3 linked regions of the Alligator mississippiensis genome follow. The protein of the gene in region 1 purifies or fractionates together with the protein of each later gene. This does not show direct contact. Links are inferred from orthologs where the notes say so. Each region holds a gene or a part of one and is shown in the gene's direction. Other genes may lie near its edges.

The links.
Region 2: the proteins of FKBP5 (region 1) and CDK9 purify together in Homo sapiens (affinity purification with mass spectrometry; 10 studies listed by BioGRID and IntAct, counting the BioPlex papers as one, with this or other methods). This does not show direct contact. The link is inferred for Alligator mississippiensis from reciprocal best matches to the Homo sapiens genes FKBP5 and CDK9.
Region 3: the proteins of FKBP5 (region 1) and protein argonaute-1 purify together in Homo sapiens (affinity purification with mass spectrometry; 6 studies listed by BioGRID and IntAct, with this or other methods). This does not show direct contact. The link is inferred for Alligator mississippiensis from reciprocal best matches to the Homo sapiens genes FKBP5 and AGO1.

Annotation. Positions count from the first base shown.
Region 1 is NC_081837.1:36,311,581-36,318,507, forward strand, and holds the start of FKBP5 (peptidyl-prolyl cis-trans isomerase FKBP5), read left to right. Parts: upstream 1-3,907; 5' UTR 3,908-3,959; intron 3,960-6,927. UniProt on the Homo sapiens protein: Immunophilin protein with PPIase and co-chaperone activities. Component of unligated steroid receptors heterocomplexes through interaction with heat-shock protein 90 (HSP90).
Region 2 is NC_081835.1:57,370,808-57,377,718, reverse strand, and holds the start of CDK9 (cyclin-dependent kinase 9), read left to right. Parts: upstream 1-3,895; 5' UTR 3,896-3,992; coding exon 3,993-4,084; intron 4,085-4,346; coding exon 4,347-4,428; intron 4,429-5,133; coding exon 5,134-5,224; intron 5,225-6,911. UniProt on the Homo sapiens protein: Protein kinase involved in the regulation of transcription.
Region 3 is NC_081829.1:8,966,154-8,974,058, forward strand, and holds the start of protein argonaute-1, read left to right. Parts: upstream 1-4,889; 5' UTR 4,890-4,973; coding exon 4,974-4,998; intron 4,999-7,905.

The DNA of each region.
Region 1 (6,927 bases):
AGTAAGTACCTAGCTCTACATAGATAACATGTTCCTGAGTACATGCCTCTATGAAGTATCAGAGCTGTGTTATGTTCTCCCACAGTAGCAGCTGATACAAATTCTTACCCGATATTACCCTTTGGTTGACAGGCAATATCTTTTGCATAACAAGGACTAGAAGCTGCAGCACAGTTAAAATTATATTAATGTTCTATCCCAAATTGCCCAAAGGCAGGACATTTAGGTTTACACAACTGGCAATCTCAGCTCGAGAGAGGCCCAGCACCTGAATAACGGTGTTGAGTTAAGACTAAGGGACACTGGCAGAGCTGTGGGGTACACTGGATTGTCTGGGCTCACAGCTGGAATAGCAGAGGCTGTTTGTGGGTCACGGCTGGCATACACTGGGGGAAAAGAAGGGGTTGGGGTGACAGTGTTGAAGAGGTGCTTTAGTATGTCAGACTTGAGGCATGCTGCCAGAGCTGGATGTGAACCTACAGCAAGAATGGGAAGGGGTGCTGTAGGTTGGGGAAAGATGCACTGGTAATGTTTTATGCAGATACTTGCCAGCAGATGAAGTTAGTGTGACTAATACTTGACTTTCTCATCTACTCTAAATTCACTTATAAAAGCCTAAAGAGAAAAAAAACAAGCAATCGGAGGCTTCTATTTTGCTCTGAATCCAACCACTTTAGCATAAGCATTGCAGAGGTCTCAGAACAGTGTGATCTTACATAATGCCTATGCTGCAATACACAGGCACAAGAAGGTGAACTGAGGACAGAGTGGCTGCCTTAGCTGTGAATTTCCTGGCTTTTGGGAGTTTACGTCAGTCTCACTGTTTTAATGTCCTTTTTAAATTTAATTTCCTTCTAAAATAGTACTATAAAATTAAGGAGGGGAGAGAAATAGGGGCGTGATAAGCCCCAACTTTTAAATAGCTAGAATTTGTTACAGAACATCATCCAGATTGAAAAGTGTTCTTTAAAAGAAAATTCCATCACATTCATGCCAAGTGATCATTTTTAAAGAAAGTAGCTGCCATTTTTGTGGTACAGTGTGAAGCCAGTGTGTGAGCTCCTCCCACTGACTTTCATGGTATCCAGTGGAGATATGGTGGAGGACTCTGGCCTCACTCATGCTTTCTGCACAAAATAAGTGGCCTGTTTCGCGTTGGCTATCTTTGAAGCCCGCAATAATGGCTTGTTAAATGGGAAATAGAAGTGTTGGGGTTGGGTCAGGGAAACGATGTAACGTTTAAGGTTATAGGAGGATTTAAAATGAAAGTTAAAACAATGCTGGTAGATTTTGTTCCTCGTGTATTTATGAATGTCCAGAGTTTCCCCACTGCATTTCAATTAGGCAAAAGCTGTGTTAAAGTAACTCCCCCTTACACTGAACCAGCTGCTACCTTCTAAATTTCAGTTTCAATTTTAGCCTCTCATTTCCAAGGCATTCTGTTGGTCTCTAAAGGCAAAAAAGCTAACATGATTCAACATCACATCAAAAAAACAGACACTGCCAGAAAGAGATTAATAACATTATAAATCCACTGACAAATAAGCTTGTCCTTAGGTCACCTATTGTAGCAATAAAAGGGGGAAAGCCAGGTCCAATTGCAGATTTATAGTAAGAGGTGGTCCTTTGCAGATGAAAAACAAATGAAAACGTCTCCTTTGATATTTGTACAGCTCTCAAGACAATCAGGTCCTGACCATGGTTGGGGCCCTGGTTGTCTTATAATACCAATCAAGCCAATTAAAAAGGAAATAAAAAGGTTGGAGGGTTGGACTTTCAAATGCTCCGTGCCCAGGATTGGAGCCAGGCTTCCAAGAGTTTAGGGCTGGTTTGACCATTTGTCCGCTGCTGCCAGTAAACCAGAACATGAGACTGAAAAAATACAAGTAATTTAGCTACTTTCCCTGTCCTAAACTGACAGCTACTGAAACATAAAGTGCAACACTAGTGAGAAGGTATTACATTACACACAGCATTCTGGGTTCTAGCTACAGTGCTGTTTCCAATACAGTTTAAAACAAAAGTCTTAAGCCAAACAACAGCCACAATCATTACAATAACCATCATTTCCTCCAAAAAATTCCTTTCTAGCGCTAACTTTTAGAAAACTACAAGAGGGTTTGTTTTTCTGATACAATGCTAAAAATAACAGCCAAGGGAACAAACCAGAAAACTATATGTTCTGATAACAGGGCTAGTCTAATATTAAACCCATAAAACAAAGAAAAGAGGAGTTTAGTTAGTGTTTAACTCCCACCCCTGCTGTGTCTCTAAACAGTGGTCAGAATATGCCACATGCTTCGAAAGCCAGGCATCCACCAAAGGGGTGGACTGAGGACAAATGGGTTTAGCTTGAAGATAGAGAATACCTTGACACAGACTTGCAGGCCTCAAGTAGAGCAACTCTTTAGCACTGCTGGGCTAGTGCAACAGAGTTAGGTAGGGACTGACTCCCTTGCAACTGGGGCGACAGAGCTGCTGAGTCAGTCTGTGCAATTATGTTCAGAGTTGAAACACGCAGCCCACTTTTTCCCTGAAGAGCTCACTCACTCACTCAGCACAGGGAGTGTAGAAAACCTGGCCCCAAATGTGTCACGGGGCGAGGGAGCTGCTGTGACCTGAGCCCCCTGGGGACATTGGGAATGTTGGCCAGCGCTCTCAGGTACAGGAGTCTGCCCCCCGTCATACGCACTTCCCCAGGCAAGGATACCCTGTGCGGCAAAACAGAGGGGGAGAGGGGAGCAGGAGAAGGGAAGGTAGGAGCCAGTCTGCTTTCACTGTTGCAGCAAGCAAAGGGTCAGAGGAGACAAAACAAATAAATAAAAAAGCCAGTTGTAGGAATTTGTGGGTTACATTTTCACATGTGGGTTCACTGGTTTTCTTTCCACTCTTGTGGGGGAGGATGAGAGACCCCCACACCAAGCAAAACTGAGCAGTGGAAGGAGTGACTCTGAATAGTATTATTAATAGTATTAGTAGCAGTAGCATTACTATTTTTGTTATCATTTTAATAGTACTATTATTAGTGCAATGTCGTTTGTATTACTATCATCACCATCATTACTGTTGTTGTTGCTGTTGTTATTTATTTATTGTTGCATGATGATAATTACTATTACTGTTATTGCTGTTATCATCCTCTTCCTCCTCCTCCTTGTTTTGGCCATTATTATTATTATTGCAAGATGATGATGACGTTATTGCTGCTGGTATCATCATTGCTGCGGCTGTATTTTTATTGTACCACGATAATGATGATGATCGCTGCTGGTATCATCACCGTCATCGTTGTTGCTATTATGACTATTTTTATTTTCATTCCTTGTACCTTGAGGAGGAGGAGGACTATTATTGTTGCTGCTATTGCCATCATCCTTATCGCTGTCGCTGCTGATATCATTTATTATTTCTTATTGTGCGATGAGGAGGAGGACGGCCCCAGCAGTAATCCTCATCGTTGCTGCTGCTGTTGTTATTATGGATTAACATTTGGATCGCATCCTGATCACGGCTCGGATCAGCATCAGCTCTGTTGTAATGACTATTTCTCCTTACGGGTATCCACGACCACTTTTGTTGTTATCGCTACTCTTCTTCCTCTTCCCCTGCTCACTGCTGGGGGGGCGATGATGGCTCTTCCCCGCTCCCAGAGCCGCGCTGCCCCGCGGAACGAGCGGCTACCACTCCCGGCCCCGAGGCGCCGCGCAGCGCCGGGCACATCTGGGCAGCTGCAGCCAGCCGCGCGCTGCCCCCGGCCTCGAGCTCAGCACCCCGGGGGGGCGGGGGTAGAACACCCTGTTGATTTGCATGCGGGAGCAGAGATGGCCAATGAGCAGGCGGCTCGCCCGGACGGGCAAGGCTGACTGCCAATGGACGCGCCGAGGGGCGTGGCCTCGCGCAGGGGACCCGCGGCCGGCGCGGGAGCTCAGTGCATTCGCAGCGGGCAGCGGCGGCGGCAGGTAGCGGGGCTGGGCAGCGCGGGGCGGGTGGGGGATCTGTTCCGCTGCTTCCCTGTGGTGCAGGGTGCGAAATGCAAACATGTGGAGCTCTTGGTTCCCAAATGCTACCTCTGATTAGACCAACTGGGGAATTTTAACTACAAAAAAATCGCTTTTTTGGGGGTGGGGGTGAGTGTGTGCACGGAAGCTGCGATGTGTGGAGGGGTCTCGAGGCCGAGCCCCAGCGCCTTCGGCCCTGAGCGTTGTGCCTGGTCTCTGGACATCAAGGGTGGCAGGCAGGGCGCCCCAAAGCCAGCTCCAGCCCTGGTCCTGGGGAGCCCCGGGGGCTTCGTCCCTGCGAATCCGTCCTGGGTGTCCGATGCCACCGAGGGGCATCCGGCTGCCCGGGGGTAGATGCGGGGCCTGCCCCCCTGCCTGGCAGTGAGCGAGCAGGGGGGGATGGATGCCTTTGCTGTGGCGCATCTTGTTCAAGTCGCAACAGTGTCATTTTTAACCTGGAATGTTTAATTTAGCAAAAGTCCCCGCGTCCTTAGTCTTGTTTGCCCTGGGTTTTTGTAAAAATGAAAAGGTAAATGTTCTGCTTTGCTACAGTTTTACCTGTTTGCAAACAGGACTTTCCCCCTATCTGCTCCGCTGCTCTGCTTTCTGCTCCCCGGTCTATCTGCCCCTGTGCTGCCTGCCCCCTCCCCGCTCTGCCTCGTGCCACACACGCGCTGCCTGTGACACTTGTGGCACATATGCTGGAGCTTGGCCACCCATTTTAGACCGGCTGATTGACAACTGGGCTGCATGAACCACAGGCAACCTTTTACCCACTGCTGAAATGGTGTCCTGCGACTTCCTATAGCTGCGCTCTCTAGGGCACTGGAGCAGAGACCCCTTGGTCTGCAGCAGTGATACACCGCACAAAGGGGGGCTCTTTCTTTCTTTTTTTCTTTCTTTCTCTAAAAGCCAAAGCTTTGTCACAAAACGAAGCTCTTATGTCAAGACACCAGTATTTTTCCTAATGATACCTGCCTAAAATATCCTGCGAAGCGTAAAAATAAAGACGTGAGAGAGAAGTTGGAGCAATTATAATAAATTGCACAAAATAGACATGATTTTAGGTTCTTGCTCTTATTTTCTCTCTCTTAGTCAATAGGCAAAATAGCTGTCGTGAAGCTGCTATTTTCCTGCTGGTAAATGCATACTCGGACAAACATATTGATACCACAAAAGAATATCATTTGCATGATGGGATGTAAGAGCTTTTGACGAATAAATTCAGAAATAATGCATGTCTTGAGTTGATGAATTCCAGTCCACATCTCTAGTGATGTATTCAAGATGCCTTTCGACGCAGCTTTGTATAGTTTTGTCTGCATGATGAGATTGTCTGTGTTTAAATAAACAGGGCTTTGCTAATGGTAGCTTACGTGGTGTAGGGGAGGCCTGAAGGTGCCAGTTTGTGAAGTGCCATCCCATCAAATGAGCAAACTGATGGTATTAAAATATTGCTTTCTCATCTGTTTTGGAGGATAGCTGATTTTAAATCAAGACTTTAAGGTTGGCTGGGAAAGATGCTGAAACTTGACTTAAAACATTTTAGCCAGTCGTCATGGGGCAAGAGCCGTGTTCAACCCGAGTATAATAAACAATTGAAAAGAAAGCTTTTCCCGTGTCCCGAAAATATGCTGGGGAAATTTTTTGAATTCTTTTTTCCTCAAACCATGTGTGAATACTGCTCCATAAGTATAGTCATTGCTCCATAAGTATAATCACGGCAGAGGAAACAAAGAAATGTTTTTAGCCACAGGAAGAAGAAGGCAGCTGGCTGCTATGGGCAAACTTCATAAAGATGCAGTAGGCTTGAATGAAAATTAGGTAGAATATTAATGAAGGAAAGGACTTTGCTGTCAATCTGCAAGCCCTAGTTGGATTGCTGAATGTGCTGGCTTGTAATCTTTAAGTGTGTGTATATTATAATGTTTGAAACAAAATACCTCTTCAAGTACAAGTATTTGAGGAGGTATAAACATCGCCGAGGCAGAGGAAATGATTACCACCATGCACAATGGAATTTCTAGGGGAAAAAAATGAAAGTGAGCAAGGGAACAATGTACTCGCAGTACTGCGAGTGCTAGGAATTTTACTGGACAAAAATGTAGTCCCAGTTGCTGAGATATTGTGTAATGTTATATAGGAAGTGATGAATGAGGGCAGTGAACACTTGGGGAGATGGAGAGTGAAGGGGAAGGAAGGACAGAGTGTTAGAATAAGATCTTGCACTTAGTATAGGCATAGATGTGCCTTGACTTTACAGTTACTTATTTTACGTTCTTGGGGGCACTTGTGGAACGTAGCTCGAACACTGGAGAGAACTGAACAGTCGTCTTTTGCTGCACAGTATATGTATTGAAGCCTCACAGGCTACACCAGTGATGTGTAGTTCAGTAGTTATTGTGGATGGCGGGGGGACTCGAAAGTCAGACCAGGTTTTTGTTCTCTCGTCTAGCACAAACTGGGGCAGTTGCTTTGGACCATATCAGGCTTCTTGTCTGTAAAATGGGTATAAATACTCATTTTGTTTTGAAGTACTTTAAGATCCAGTGTTTCTCAACTCATGGGCTGCAAAAATATTTGAAAGGGTCACAAACTTTAAAAATGGGTTCTCCTTTAAAGGAGAAAATTGTGGGAAACCGTGGTTTTTCCCTTGCAGGCTGGTGGTCCAACCTCCATGGGGCTGCTTGGGCCACCCCCCCATACCCCACGTACCCACCTGCTGCCCCACACACTGGGAGGCAGGGGGCAGTGGGTCAGGAGTGAGGGGCACTGGGTTGGGACTGGCCATTGATCTTTAGAAATGGGTCCTGGTAGAAAAAAGGTTGAGAACGACCGGTCTAGCAGAACTGTAATGGAACAAAGCATTACAAAGGTCTCAAGTTGCGGCAAGGGAAGTTTAGGTTGGATATTGGGGAAACATTTTCTC
Region 2 (6,911 bases), on another chromosome or scaffold:
TGCATGCACACAGCTCTTTGTCTCCGCAGAGATAGGTGAAGCCCCTGACATCACAAGGACCACCAAGCCAGACAGTCGGCCTTCACGACAATGGGTCAGCAGCTACCTGTGTCCTTCACGGTACCCTCTCCAAGGCACGCACGCACTCTCTGTCATAAGTAGATTCCTTCCCAGCACAGCTGAGCGTGTTTTATCTGCAGGCTTCCAAACACGAGACAGATAGAAAATGTTGTCTTCTCTAGTTTACTTGGAGCGAAAGGGGAACACCAGTAAACATCAGGCACAAAGGTTTCCAGCAAAGGCCATGATGGAAAATTTTCCTCTAAGCGACTTGCCTGAGTCTCTGACCAGCCCCAGGGCAGAGGCAGGATAGAACAGGAGTGCAGACACCCAGTCCCCCTGCTCTTGCTAGAAGGCAACTCTTCCTAGATAAGGCCTTGTCCACACTAGAAATGCTCTGATTGTGTAGCTGAATAGGCCTGCTCTCCTGTTCCAGCAGTTCTCTGAATGAAATAAGCTGTACCAGTTGGATATCGGCATCGGGATTATCCAGAAGCAACATTACTACAGTGGCAGAAGCTTCTGAGTAGAGCTGATCTAATGTCAATGGTGCACTGTATCCTCTATCGCGGGGGTCAAAAGGGTTTTGTACCACTGGTGTGATGGCAAATCACTGTGTAGGGGGGTGCTCGAGGGGCTGTTTCAGGAAGCAAAGGACAGAGAAGACTTTTGCCGGCACAGAACATCCCAGCACAGTGCAGAATTGTGGAATCCTTTTCTCTTGCAGGCAGGTGTCCCCATAGCTGGCGTCATAGAGACTGGTGCAGCCTGTTCGGACACATCCTATCCATCCCCTGGGGCCAGTGCAGGATTGTTCCCTCCACTGTGGATTGCAAATGCTGTGTTTTGGCAGGAAAAGAAGCTTGGGGCAGCTCGCTCCGCTGCCACGTGAGCTGGGTGGGAGTTTCCTTTAGGAAGGTGGAAAGTTATTGTATTCCTTGTGCTGCCTGGAGACTCATCAGGCCTGTTGATTAGAAGTCACTCTCCTTTCCAAACAAATGAGTTAGGACTGACAGGGCTGCCAATATGGTTTCCTAGCGGGGAGGCAAAATCATAAGACGATCACCTCCATACATGGGGCTCTGAGTCCATGGGGCGGGAAGGGACTTGCTGCAGTGGGCAGAGGGCTGTTCCTTCCCTGAGCAAATGGTAGAACAGAAAGGAAATGTGGGGTGATTGGTAAGGATCACTTATCCCTGCTGAGACTGGATAAAGCTGCTGCAAAGTTGTGCTGCCCTACTGGAGAGCTGCAGCCCTGTGGCAGGGGCTGCAGGCTTCCCTCAGTCCCTAACACAACCTGCCCCATTGCTATGTGGATCATCTGTTGAAAGACATGCAGTGCCCTAGCCTGGAAGCTGGGAAATACCAGCAGGTGGTGCCCAGAGTGAAAAGGTACCACTCGGGCAGGCAGAAGGTACCACAGAGCACAGCGTGCTCAGGGGTCAGGCAAGCACAGAGCCTGTGTCCCCGGGACGAGGGCCGGCATGCACCACACTCATCCAGATGACAGAATGGAAAGTCCCAGAGAATTCCTCTCTGATTGATGAATGAAATCTCTTCCTCAAAAATGCTGACTAGCAAAAGGACTGACCAATGAATCTGGAGAACAGCTCAGGTCCCACTTCCAAGATCTTTGTGTTCCTGGAACCCAAGGATATCTGAATCACTTGTGTCAGTTGGAACCACTAATGAATCTAGTGCCATGAGGCTGGGAAAGGCATCTGGGGGGAGGAGGGGGTTCAATTTCTGTTGCCCTGAATTGAAATGAAAATGGTTTCCTCCTTATCTCACTCCAGCTAAGGGGCAGGAAATGGATATAAATCAACATAGTGGAGTCAGAGACACAAGCCTTTATGCCTGCCGAGGCTCTGGCCACAGAAAACATCTGACACAGCTCCCAAAGGTCAGAGAAGAGACAGGGGACAGGGGAGCCACTGGGGCCAGTGTCCAGGCATCATAGAAGGGCTGAGAGGAGCACTGGACGCAGCGTGGGAGGGCTCAGAGAACAGGCAGGTGTTGCAGCAATGGATGCTTATGAAAACTGACCCAAGTGTTGGGCTCTCTCATGGGCACTGTCCAAACTGGCATCTGTTTAGGGCTCTCTCCACTGAGACTCATAGAGGCTATCAGTAAATACTGCTGGTGTGACAGGCTTTTGCTGCTGGTACTCTAACCTGTCTCTTTCTAGCTTACAGACCTGAGAATCATGGAAGAGAAGTGACTCGCCAAAGGTCACACAGTAGGGCAGTTGCAGAGCCAGTTCTGACTCCAGTTGCCTGCTTTACCCACTAATCACTGAGCCCGTCCCTCTCCTTGCCCCATCAGCTGTTTTTCCCTACATCTGTCTCCTCTGCCTACCTCTGTCCCTTGAAAGCTGGGCTTGGCTTTGACGTTTATCTCAGGACTGCTGTAAGAGCTAATCCTTTCTCTGCCTGCCTGCTGCGAATGATCTCTTCTCTTAGCTGTCTCGGAGCCCCCTGCTGGCACTCTGCTTATGTAGCCACCTGTGGCACCCTGACGGCTGCTGCTGCATCCGAGCACGCTGCCAAACTGTAACGTGGGCAGTAGGCAGATGTCACGGCGCTGGCCTCCTGGAGGGGAGCACGGGACGCTATGGAGGTGATTTAACTCAGTGACGCAGCTGGATGCTGCACTGATGCAATGCTGATGTGCCGGATAGAACGAGTGTCCTCTGCATGAGGGCATGAGGGGGTGTCACGGCGTGAAGCAACGATGCTGAGACACAACAGGATGGTTCAGTGTGGCACTGTGACTCAGGATGCGTTGCTGTGGCGTGTAGGCACAGGATGATGATGCAGAGGTGCCTGCGATTACTATTCCTTCTTTTCCTTCCCAGACTGACAAGAGGCCAGAGCCTGGTATTAGGGCCTTGTTACACCTTACACTATGAGCTGCACAAGTATAGATGGGGGGTCAGTGCTGGCTCGGGTTTGGAGCGGTCACACTTCAGGCCGGAGGGGGCCTGGAGGACTGAAAGGTAAGAACCCCCCCTCCCCTTCTGGGCTTCCCCCAGTCCCCTGCCTCTGGGGCTTCCTCCGTTCCCCCCTTGCTTCCCCTCACTAGAGCACTACTTACTTGTAGGTAGGTGGCAGAGAGCAAAGCCCTGCCCTGGCGCTCTGAGCCCCGCGCCACCACGAGCGCTGCAACCCAGCTTCAGGTGCTGACGCGTGGACAATCTGGGGGTTACGAGCCCCAGGAGCCACAAGGCCCTGCCAGACCCTGGGCAGCCCTGGCAGAGGTCCTGCTGGTGCCGCAGGCTCCGGTCTCTCAAGGGTCGGAGGAGAAAGCCCACGACGCTCCCATGAGGGATGAGTATGGCAGGGCACCCGGCGCCCGTCACTGCAGCTGGCACCCATGGGTGAGCGCACCTGGCAATGTACAATGCACTGAGGCTATGCGCAAGCCTAAAGATAGTGGACAGGAGGCCATACACAGCTGTCCCAGGGCTGCTGCAATGAAACAGGGGTGACGTCACAGGGGCGCCTTGACGTCACGCCGCCGTGTGACGACACCCCGGGGGACGCGAGTGCTGGGAGGAGGGGGCGGGGCAGGTGGATGCTCCAGGGAACAGTGCGATGACGTAACGTTCGCAGTCGATGACGCAACCGACCGCGAGGCCACGCGTGCGTCACTCAGCGAGCACGCGGGCCAATCACACACGCAGCGCGGGGCGGGGCAGGCGCGGATCCCCGCCCAATCCGCGCCCGCGTGACGGCCTCTCGATCCGCCCTCTTCTCGCGGCTCTTCCAGAACCATAGCTCCCAGCGGGCAGCGCGGCGGCGCCCCGGAAGTAGTGGAGCATGGCCGGCGGATCCGGAAGCCCCGGGCGAGGCGCGGGCGGCAGCGCGCCGGCTCTGAGCGAGCAGGCGGCCCCGCGGCGGGCCGGGCCGGGCGGCGGTGGCAGCAGCAGCATGGCCAAGCAGTACGACATGGTGGAGTGCCCCTTCTGCGACGAGGTGTCCAAGTACGAGAAGCTGGCCAAGATCGGCCAGGGCACCTTCGGGTGAGCGCCCCCCGCCCCGCCCCGCCGCTCCGGGTACAGGCCCCGGGAGCCCCTCCTGCCCCCGCCCCCCCGGCCTGGGGCCTCCCGGGGCTGCGCGAGCCCGTCCCCGCTGCCCTCCTCGGGGCTTCCTAGGGGCCAGCTGCCCCCTCCGGGCCGAGCAGCCGGCCCTGCCCCGGGTGGGGGGAGGCAGTTGGGTCTGGCTCGCCCTCGCTGGGCTGCGGCCACTCGCGCGTGGCTGAGCGCGGCCTCTTTCGCCCCGCAGGGAGGTGTTCAAAGCCAAGCACCGGCAGACGGGCAAGAAGGTGGCGCTGAAGAAGGTGCTGATGGAGAACGAGAAGGAGGGGGTAAGGCAGGCGTGCGGTGTGTTGGGGGCGGCTAGAGCCCTGTAATACCCCGGGCAGAGTTGTTGGGAGGGTGCAGGTTGTTCGTGGGGCACTTTGCTGCTGGGCTCCGTAGCCACGTTGGTGTCTGTCTCTGCAACGTGTGAGGCCGTTTCCATCCAGCAAGCGTGGTGCGCTCGTATGCAGGGGTAAGGTTGCTTGGTGCTGTACCTCTCTCGTTAGCCTCGTGGCTGCCCTTGCCTTGCGGGACGGACCCCAGTGAGACACTGAAGGGGGTGAGCGCTTTGCTGACCTGGCTTGTGTCCACCACGTGGGTCTGGTCCACCTGTCAAGTCTGAATTGCCAGCAGTAGGGTCAGAAGCAGAATAGATCTGCACCCTTTCCCCATCCCAGGTTAAACTGGGTGCTGTGGAATAAAGGTCTGTTCCCCTGAGGATTTTCAGCACCCGCAGCATTCACCGTCTTTGCTAAGAGCGCTCGGCAGCTCTCGCATCAGTCTTGGTTTGCAAACATGCCTGGAAGGCACCGAGCACAGCTTTGGGTTTCCACCAAGTTGGGCTCAGCGTCTCGCTCTAATTGTATTTGAGGTCTGTGTTGTTTCTGTTTGAGTGTTTCCGCTTTGTCTCTTTAATCCTCTCAAGGGCTCCAGACCAGTCTGATATGATCCTTTGCCATCCTAACCGGTGGGCCTCATTTCTCCTTTTTCAGTTTCCTATCACAGCCCTGCGAGAGATTAAAATCCTTCAGCTGCTCAAGCATGAGAACGTGGTGAACCTTATAGAGATCTGCAGGACCAAAGGTATTGTTTTGTTGTTCCCCTCTTGGCTCATGTCAGCTGCTTTCTGGAGTATCCAGTAACATTGGCCTGCTGGGTGACTGGGTGCACATCGCTTTCCTCCCTTTGCTGCAGTTCCCCTGTCTGCACAGAGAGAGCAATGCTATTGACCCTTTTTGTAAAGCAGTTCAATCCCTACTGGTGGAAAGTGCTGTGTAAGAGCTAGGAGGTGTGCTATTTGTAATGCATCATTCCTACATGAGATGTAAGATAGGAAGTCCAGGGGATCTGGCAAGGCATCAGCTTGTACTTGGTTGTATTGTAACTCATGTAGATGAAGCTTTCATAGACTCCTTTGAAATATTGTGCTACAACAGTGAAAGGCCTGCGTACATATCTGTCTTTTGTATACAGGAAAGCTCATGCTTTTGTGTGTGTTGCCTTAAAATCACACTGGAGAGAAACCTGATGTAAATTTCTTGTCCTGAAATTGATTTTTTTTTTCCTTTTAAAGCATCAATAGATATAAAATATATCTATTCTGTGTTGCTTTTGCAGCAGTAGCTGGATTTATTTAGCACAATACAGGGTGACTATTTAACTCTGGTTTTATAATAGTACTTTGGCTCAGTGTGTTCACTTACTGTTGCTTGGGGAGGAACTGCCTATACTTTAGTAGATGAATTCAATGGCTTTCCATTTTCACAGTGCAGTTCCATCACTTGAATGCCTGCTTGTTCTTTGACTCGTTGTTTTGTGGACAGTTTCTGGCAGGGAGGATGTTGCCTCTTCTCTACAGGACCTAGCATGTAAGGCCACTGGAAGCGAGTAGATAAAAGTTAATTTTTAAAAAGTTTTTAAAATTTTTAAACCAAATATAGGTTTTTGATTTTTTGTTTTCTTTTAAAAATAAACCTGTTTGACATCCTGACAACTTTAATGGATGATGGTAAGCATATGTGCTAAAACTGCCAAGGCTTAAATAAAAATTCAAGCAGTGCCTGCCAGGTGTTGAAATTGTAAAGAAAATCATGCCACTGAAATGATGGAAATCTCTGGTTTAGCCCCTGGAGTCAGTCTGCTAAAGTGCCAAATCGGTTTTTGATAGCATTTCATTCTCTGCACCTGGAGAAGAACATTGTTCGTTTTGGTTCATTCAGCTAGTTCAGTTCACTGACTTGTTTTCAGTTCCCAAATCTGGGCAAACAAGCTTTCTTTCCTATTGCTTTCTTTCACTCTATGGAATGCCAAATAAGGCACTAGAATGAGATGCTAGTTTTTAAATGTTGTAGGGCATAATGGCCAGAAATAATCGCTACTGATTCATAGTTAGTTTACACTAACTAGCTATTGATTCGTTGACCAAATGGATCTTGTTTCTCTCTTTTTTTTTTTTTTGTGCCCAGCAAGTCGGAGGGGACCAACAGACATTGGGGGAGTCCCTGTTCCCCCGAGCACTACCAGGAGTGACTAGAAATAACGGTCACAAGCTGGCAGAGGGTAGATTCAGACTAGACATCAGGACGCGCTGCTTCAGTCAGGGTAGTTAGGATCTGGAACCAACTTCCAAGAGAAATGGTGCTGGCTCCTACCCTGGGGGTCTTTAAGAGGAGGCTAGATAAACACCTTGCTGGGGTTGTTTGACCCTAGTACTCTTTCCTGCCATAGCAGGGGGTCGGATTTGATGATCTGCTCAGGTCCCTTCCGACCC
Region 3 (7,905 bases), on another chromosome or scaffold:
AGAGGGAAACTGGGTTCCAGCAGTGAGTTGCTATTGGGACAAAAGGGAACATGGCAACTGCAGAGAGCTGGAGACAGGACACATTGGAAGTAAGAACAACCATCTTCTCCAGGTTCTTCTGTCCTTTGAGGTCTTCCTTGAGGTATGACATGATCCAAACAGCTTGTATTTCATGGGTTTCTGCTTGCTGTCATCTTTACTATCATCACTGGAGTCTATGTAGCTTGGTTACCATGGTCCAAAGCAGGCTAAATCCATCAATCATTCCTCTGGATTTCCATCATCCCTGTTGCTCTTGCATGTAATTATAATCTATGGATCAGGTCCTCGGTAGTAAAATAAGCATTCCACAATTTGGCAGCAAATACCCCCAAAGCCTTCCTGGCAGTACAGGTAAAGGTAGGGACAATTCCAGTACAATCCCTTTTCCAATAATGGTTTCTACTATGGTAGGATTGGTAGAAATTGTACCTGAGAACTTAAATGACACAAACCCAACGTGACACCATGTCTGGTTAACTGAAACTTGATGATGTTGCTGGTGTCACCACTGCCCTTGGCTAATGCAGCTCTGTCTGGTATGATTACCCTTCAGAAGAGTGAACTTCTTTCTCCTTTAACAATATCAGTGCTAGGTCTGTTTGTGTAGGTGATTAAATCCTTTTAGAATGATACAGAACCTGGTACTCACACCATTTGTATTTGAAGTTGCCATAAGAGCAGCAGCTCTTATGGCTGGAGTCATAAGCATAAAATGGATTAGCAGCTTTGGCAACATATTTAATGGAACCACACTAAAGCTTATCTGTTTTAAAAGTTGGTCAGGTTCAAGGGTGATCTTTCACTGCTTAAGGGCAACAGAGGTGGTCCCCTCTTCTCTCCAATTAATCCTATGACTGGTGTTTCTGCACCTCTAACTACTGTCCCCCCACTTTGTCATATGCTCCCTACTCCAGCCAACAGGATTCCAGTCTTACCTCCTTGCTGGGAAACAGCAGCTCAAGGACTAGTTTTTCAGACTGCACCCAGCACAGCAATCATGGATCTGTAGTTTAAATAAAAGGCTAGATTGTCAACCATTAATCAGATTAGCGTCAATACTGGATCATTCTAGTTCAGCTGTCATCACAACACCAGTGATTTGAGGGTCAAATGTGTAGCTGAGGCTTCAATGGTTTGGGGATGCCCACCAGACTGGCCAAAGCATCATCACTTGATGAATTATTCCAGTCAGTCTCCTTTGTTCAGAGGGCTCCTTCTAGCTTTCCAAGTTGAAGTGGAAATGACTGGATCACTGATTATTGCTAACCCCCATTTCCTAAGACACCACTATCTGTGTGTTCATCTGTCCATCTATATTCAGAAAGAGTAGGCAAATCTTTTGAATAGAAAATGTTTTGACTTGGGGCTGCCTGAAATACAGAAGTCTGTTCTTCACCCTGCATGATACTGCTTCACTTCTTCCTTAAGCTGCAGAGGTCCATGCTCTTCCCCCTCTGTTGAAAGAATGTATTGGTTACTGGTACTGATTTCCATGAGGGTTAAACTGAGGAACAAGGGTGTATTACGGAGTCGGTGGTGGAGCCAGGAATGGAACTCCTAAGTCCTGACTCCCCACCCCTTGCTCCACTTATACCAAATTGCAATGACATATTTTCAATTAGTTTCTACCCATCTGAGGACTGACCTTGGAAGACATTTGTGAGCTATGAAGGTTCCTTTTCTAGTCACTGATAGCCAATGCAGTGGGGATCGACGAGATCCACTTCCACATAGTGATCCCTGGTAATGTCTCTGATGGCCAAGAGCTGCCAAATTGATAAAAATGCCAAAGCCCACAAAGATAAAGATACAGCTATAACTTCTGTCGTACAAAATAAGCTAATGCAGGGATGGTGGTATGCTGCCAAGGAGATGCTGAACACAACAGACCCTGCACCATAATTGTTACTTTATAAAAAAAGGTTCTAAGGCCCCATTTCTGCCATCTAGTATTGGTTGAGGGCAGGGTCTGCCTTGAACTCATGCTCCATCTACAGGAACAAGATTGCAGGATCAGGGCCTGAGACCGTGATGAGGTCAGGAGGAAGATGTCTCTGGTGGGAAAATGCTGCCATGATCAGCTCTCAGGGTTTCATTTCCCATAGTTTGACTCTCAGTAATTACATCAGCAATGGGTTCTGCATTTATGTGCAAGGCAGAGGAACAAGTGCACAGTTGTGAACACAAACACACATCACTCCCTGCACTGGCTCTTCAGATGCTGTTGCTGCTACCGGCTCCAAGGAACTTTCAGCACTGAGGTATGCTCAGAAATCCAACTGCAAGATAGCTTTCTCTTGCTGCTGGTGTGTAAATCACTGATCTGGGTAACTCCCATTAATCCAATCAGGAGTTTTCTCCATAAATCCTTCCTATGCAAATAGGAAAACAGGCCCTGACTACTGACCAGACTGCACTGAAATAGATTTCCTAGGAAGGTTGGGTCATCTGTTACTGAAACAAACATCTGTCCAGATGTTTTAAATGAAGCTGAGCCTGCCCTGGGATAGGAAGAGGGGTTAGAGCCCCTTGCAGCCCTATTTCCTATAATTCTAAAACTAGCTTGAAGCAAACAGACCTGTTCTGAGTATATTTTCCTTTGCTAAATTCCATGACCCATGATTTAAAACCAAGATGAACGCTGGTCCTTATTTTCAGTTATTTCCTGGGCTGCATTGAATTCACCTGAAATGATGCCAGCGAGCTCTGTGCTGCTTATGGTAAGGTCACACATAAGGTCATCATTCCAAATAACTCTGAAAAGTTATTTAGGGAGAGCTCATTTAATATTTTGGTGCAGAAACTGCCTTTGGCCAGTTGTGTTAATTCAAATCCAGACCAGCTTCTGGTTCTACTGGATCCTGCCATCTGTGACATGCAAATTTCATCATAAGTCTCTCAAGAGAGCATGTTATTCTTTTACATGCTTCTCAGTCCTGTCCTTTAACTGCAGGATAAGTGCTCCTTGCAATTTTAGATCACTTCGTGTTAAGGAAAATGAGTGATCACCATCCATACCAGTGCAAATCATGAAAGGCCACCTTAATCATCCAGCATGGTGCTACAGCAAACACCTTCTGCTTCTCATTTTTGTGACCCCTTTCCAACCTGGGCATCCTGGAAGTAAAGCCCTCAAGGGAACACAATACAAGCTATCACTGCAGCAGCCATGGAGACTGCTCAAGCTAGAGTGAGGAAGAGTGAACTGCATTTCTCCTTGTTTTAAAACCTGGTGAGGCCCTTAATGTAGATTCACCTCCGTTTCCCTGAGGGGAGGATTGCCATTTGACCTTCCTTTGCCTAAGGCACTGATACACCAGGTATCAATGTTCCCATGTGGGAACATCGGCATCCTTTTGCTTAGCTGGGTCCCTGTCATCTCTGGTTGGCAGTGCTTTGGTGGGATGGGAAGTGAATCGGTTCTGAAATGGGACGTGTGGCAGCTGAAGGCATCTAGTTAGATGCAGACACCAGAGTCTCAGGCCTGCAGTTAGACGGGGACCCCCCCTTCCACCCATAGCATCGGCTGCTATGCAAAGTCAGGACAGATTCACTTCCTAAAATGCACTGCTTGCAGCATCACAAGATACTCAAGTTTTCAGAGACCTTCGTCTGCCACAGCTTTATGACTGCAGTGCTCTTAGCCACGACACCAGCAAACGTGCCCCTGCTGTCCTACCAACCAAGGGGTCTGCCATGTGCCAACAAGGCGCATACCAAAAAACTGAATAAAAGCTGCAAATAAATAAGCACATCCCCTACTGTTCACTCAATGAACTGGCAGTGAAAATGAGTCTCAAAATAAAAAAAATCCTCTGCCAAACAGGCTATAATCCCCCTAGGAAATACAAACTGTTCCAGTTTCTGTGAGCTGACAGTGCTGTAGGGCATCTTAGTTACTATGGCAGTCATTTAATGGGTGGCTCGGTAACATGAGCATAAGGACATTTTGATCAGATGTCCCGGTCCCACCTGAAGAAACAGATTTGACCTAGAGATACGGGAAGGCGCTTCCACGTCCCCTGCAGATTCAACGTCACACGACTGCCTCCTCCCTTTGCGTTACTCTGCCCCGGCCTTCCTGCCGCAGCAACCATCGTTACAGCGGGATGGTAACGACCGGGGTGCTCGATGAGCCACTTAATGACTGCTTGTTTTCAGAGATGGACGACTTCCCCCGGGGGAAAATGTGTGCCTTGGGGCTCCGTCTCTCGCTCGCTCTCGAGCTAAAAGAAACGCCGCAGTCGTGGGATGTTTCCAGGCTGTCCCGAGCGTCCGGCGGGGGGGTTCAGCAGGCTTTCCCTCGAGCGCAGCTCCTCGCGGCGGTGGCCTGGGACATGTCCACATGCGAGCTCGCCGTGCGTGGATCTATCCGAGCTCACGCGAACCCTGAGGCGGGTTCGAGGCGAAGGGCTTTAGAAACACAACAGCATGCACGTCTCTCCATTTCTGACCCCACGCACAGAAAGACAGGAGGCCCACGGTGGTGCTGGGCAAGGGGGTGCAGCCAGGCATTAGTGTGGGAGCTGGCTGTTCTCTGCTTGCCCAGCTCAAGTTGACTGAGCAGGTTATTTGGGGATAACTGCCCAGGCAGCCTGTCCATACACTACACTGCATGCACTGCATGCACTGCACTACACTGCCAGAGCCCTGCAGCAGCTGCTCAGCCTCGCTCTGAGCCCAAGATGGCGGCGCGCGCTGAGGGGCCGCCCGCCAGGGGGCGCCTCCCCCGCCCCCGCCTTTGTTGGCGCCCGGGCCCGGCCCGGCCGGCGGCGCTGATTGGCTGCTTGGCCGCGCCTGCGCGCTGGGGCCCAGGCGTGGAGGAGGCTGCCTAGAGGCTGCGGCGGCAGCGGGAGGTGTCGGTGTGGCCGCCCCCGCCCCCGCCTCCGCCCCGCGCTCAGCCAGGCTCGGCCGCCGCCCGGGTGGATGGGATGGAAGCAGGACCCTCGGGAGCAGGTACCGCGCGAGGGCCCCGGGCACCGGGTGGGGAGTGCAGTGGGGCAGGGGGTGTAGTGCAGCGCGGTGTAGTGGGGTGCAGTATTATGCAGTGGGTCGGGGGGGTGGCGGTGCAGTGGGGTGGGAGTGCAGTGCTCTGTAGTGGGGTAGAGGGCGCCATGCAGCCGGGCAGTGCAGTGTAATGGGTAGGGGGCACGGTGCGGTTGCGAGTGCTGTGGGGTGGAGGTACACTGCATTGGGGTGGGGGGTGCAGTGGAGTCAGGGGTTGCAGCCGGAGATGCAGTGTAGTACAGTGTTCTCTAGTGGGTTAGGGGCACTATGCAGTGGGCAGTGCAGTGCAATGGGTAGGGGGTGCGGTGCGGTCGTGAGTGCTGTGGGGTGGGGGTACACTGCATTGGGGTGGGGGTGCAGTGGAGTAGGGGGTTGTAGTCGGAGATACAGTGTTCTGTGGTGGGTTAGGGGTGCCATGCCGTGGGCAGTGCAGTGCAATGGGTAGGGGGTGCGGTGCGGTCGTGAGTGCTGTGGGGTGGGGGTACACTGCATTGGGGTGGGGGTGCAGTGGAGTAGGGGCTTGTAGTAGGAGATGCAGTGACTTGGGGTGCAGGGTTATGCAGTGGGTTAGGGGTGCTGTGGGGTGGGGGTGCAGCAGTGAGTGGACTGTGTTGCAAGAGTGGGGTTTCTCCAGGGAGAGAGGGCTGCACTGGGGGGAGGATAGTGCAGGGGCTGTACCTGCTTCACCTGCTGCAGGAGGGGGTGCAGGATGTAGCTGGCCCAGCAAGGGGTTGCAGCTCTGCTGTGTGGGGTTAGAACATCTTCTAACCCCTAAACATTCTAACCCCTAGAACATCTTCTAACCCCTCTAAAAGGAGGGGTCCTTTAAGCTGCCTTCCCAGCTGGGAGTTTTGTGGTGCCCAGTGAGGGCTTCATGGGGTGCTGGGAACAGAGCTGGTTTTAGAGGAGGGGGCTGCTGACTAAGCAGGGAAGAAGACATTGTGCTATTTCATGAGGTGGGGAGGGGACCTGGGGGGCTTGGGCCCCTGTGAAGGGCAGTGCAGGAGTCAAACAGGAGGTGCGTGTCCTTGCTGAAGGCTGGGTGTACACACAAGTTCGACTGCCACAGTCCCGGACTGTCACAGGCTCTGTTATGGCACCAGACCTCTGAAGTGACTTGTTTTTCAAGGGGTGGCAAACCTATCTCGCCCCCCCCTGTTTCTTCCCTACCCAGCCTCTGTCTTTGTGTGCAAAGAAGATGCCTCGGGTAAGAGGTGGCAAAAAGAGCCTGGCCTGGAAGTGGGAACGATAACGCTCTCTTGTTAGGACACAAGGGCCAATTGCTGCTGCTTTCTGGTGACAGAATGAAGCGGTTTCTGTCTCTCTGAGGTTTGAGGCATGCGCAAAGCTGGGGGTTTCTCTGCATGCCTGACAGCTGGAGAGGGGAGGCAGGGACTGTTGCTAAAGAGATTCATCTCGGTACATCAACATTGTTCTCCCCCCAGCATGCCCAGTTAAACGGGAACAGCTAACAAATGGTCTCATCGTTGGCCTTTTTTCAGACACTCAATAATTCTTTTTAAAACTGCCCCCTCCAAACTTGACTTGGATTTCTCTTTCCGTACGGTTCTGCAGATCATTTAATTCTCTTTAATGCGGCATCTGCGAACAACTTGATCTCAAATGCAGTTCTGAGTTGTATCGTGTGGCTTGAAATAGAGGGAAGGGGTTGACAAGACCAGGGGGAGAGGGGGAGTCCTTGGCTTCCATTGGACTCGTGAAGCCAGGCTGAGCCTGATGCCTGTTAAAATGTGATTGCATGGGGTAAAGTAACTTTCACTTGGAAATACTAAAGTGTGAGTTGGTGTGCTGGTGCTGTAAGTGTGATGCAAGAACATCTTCAGCTGTGTCTGGACTGGGGAGAACGATGTGTCAGTTCTTAATACTAGCCTATTCATGTTCTGCCTGACATGACCTAGAAGTGAGTAGGAGTCTGGGTTTTCACTCCTGACTCCACCAGCAACTTGCTGTGTGGCTTATGGGTAAGTCGCTCCTCCTTTCTCTGCCTCCAGTTTCTTACCTGATAAAGAGGGGCAGGGCCGTACCTCCCATAGAGGTGCTTTGAGATGTGCTGAGGAAAATCTGTGTGTCAGGGTAGACCTGCATTCTTTTCTTCTGCTGAGCCTGTGTGTGATATAGCTGGGGCTGGGGTGAGTGGGGCCACGGCCCTTTCCCCTCCCCCCACACACTTACCTGTTTGGGCAGGGGGGCATCTATGCTGATCGCATAAGAGTGAACTTACCTCGCATATAACGAATTATAGGTCTAAATATGCTCATCGCATAAGAGCGAATTCGCATATAAAGAACCCGCATAAATCGAGGGGAAACCTTTAATGGCCGGGACTGGGATGGGGGTGGAGTGATGGTTAACATTAAAATCAAAGCAGGATCTTGTCCCTAGGGCCATCATGTCTTGTCTTGATCTGAAAGAGTGTCTTGTTTTGGGAGGTGGGATAGGTAATTCCAAACTGGCTATTGGTATAAACCCATGAACAGTTTGGTCTGGACATGTACCACGTTAACTGAACGGTAATGCCTGTTGGAGCAGTACCCTCTGGTTATCACAGTGCTGCAGTAACTTGGTGCCTAATGTACAGTGTGCCGTGGGCACCTTTGTGAAAACCTTACTGGGAGAAATGCGGTTCTCAGTGTTACTCTTATTGCTGTTGCAGTGGTAGACATGTCTCAGCTGCACTTGACCCCAGTGAGAAACCCCCTTGGCACCTCTCCAGGATTGTCTTGGAGGGGCCAGCTCTTTACAGTTTCTGCCAAGTTTGGAAGCTTCAAGCAATGTTGATGCAGTGTCAGAGACAATGGGCTTTGTGCACATCAGGCCTGCGTGGGTCACTGAGAT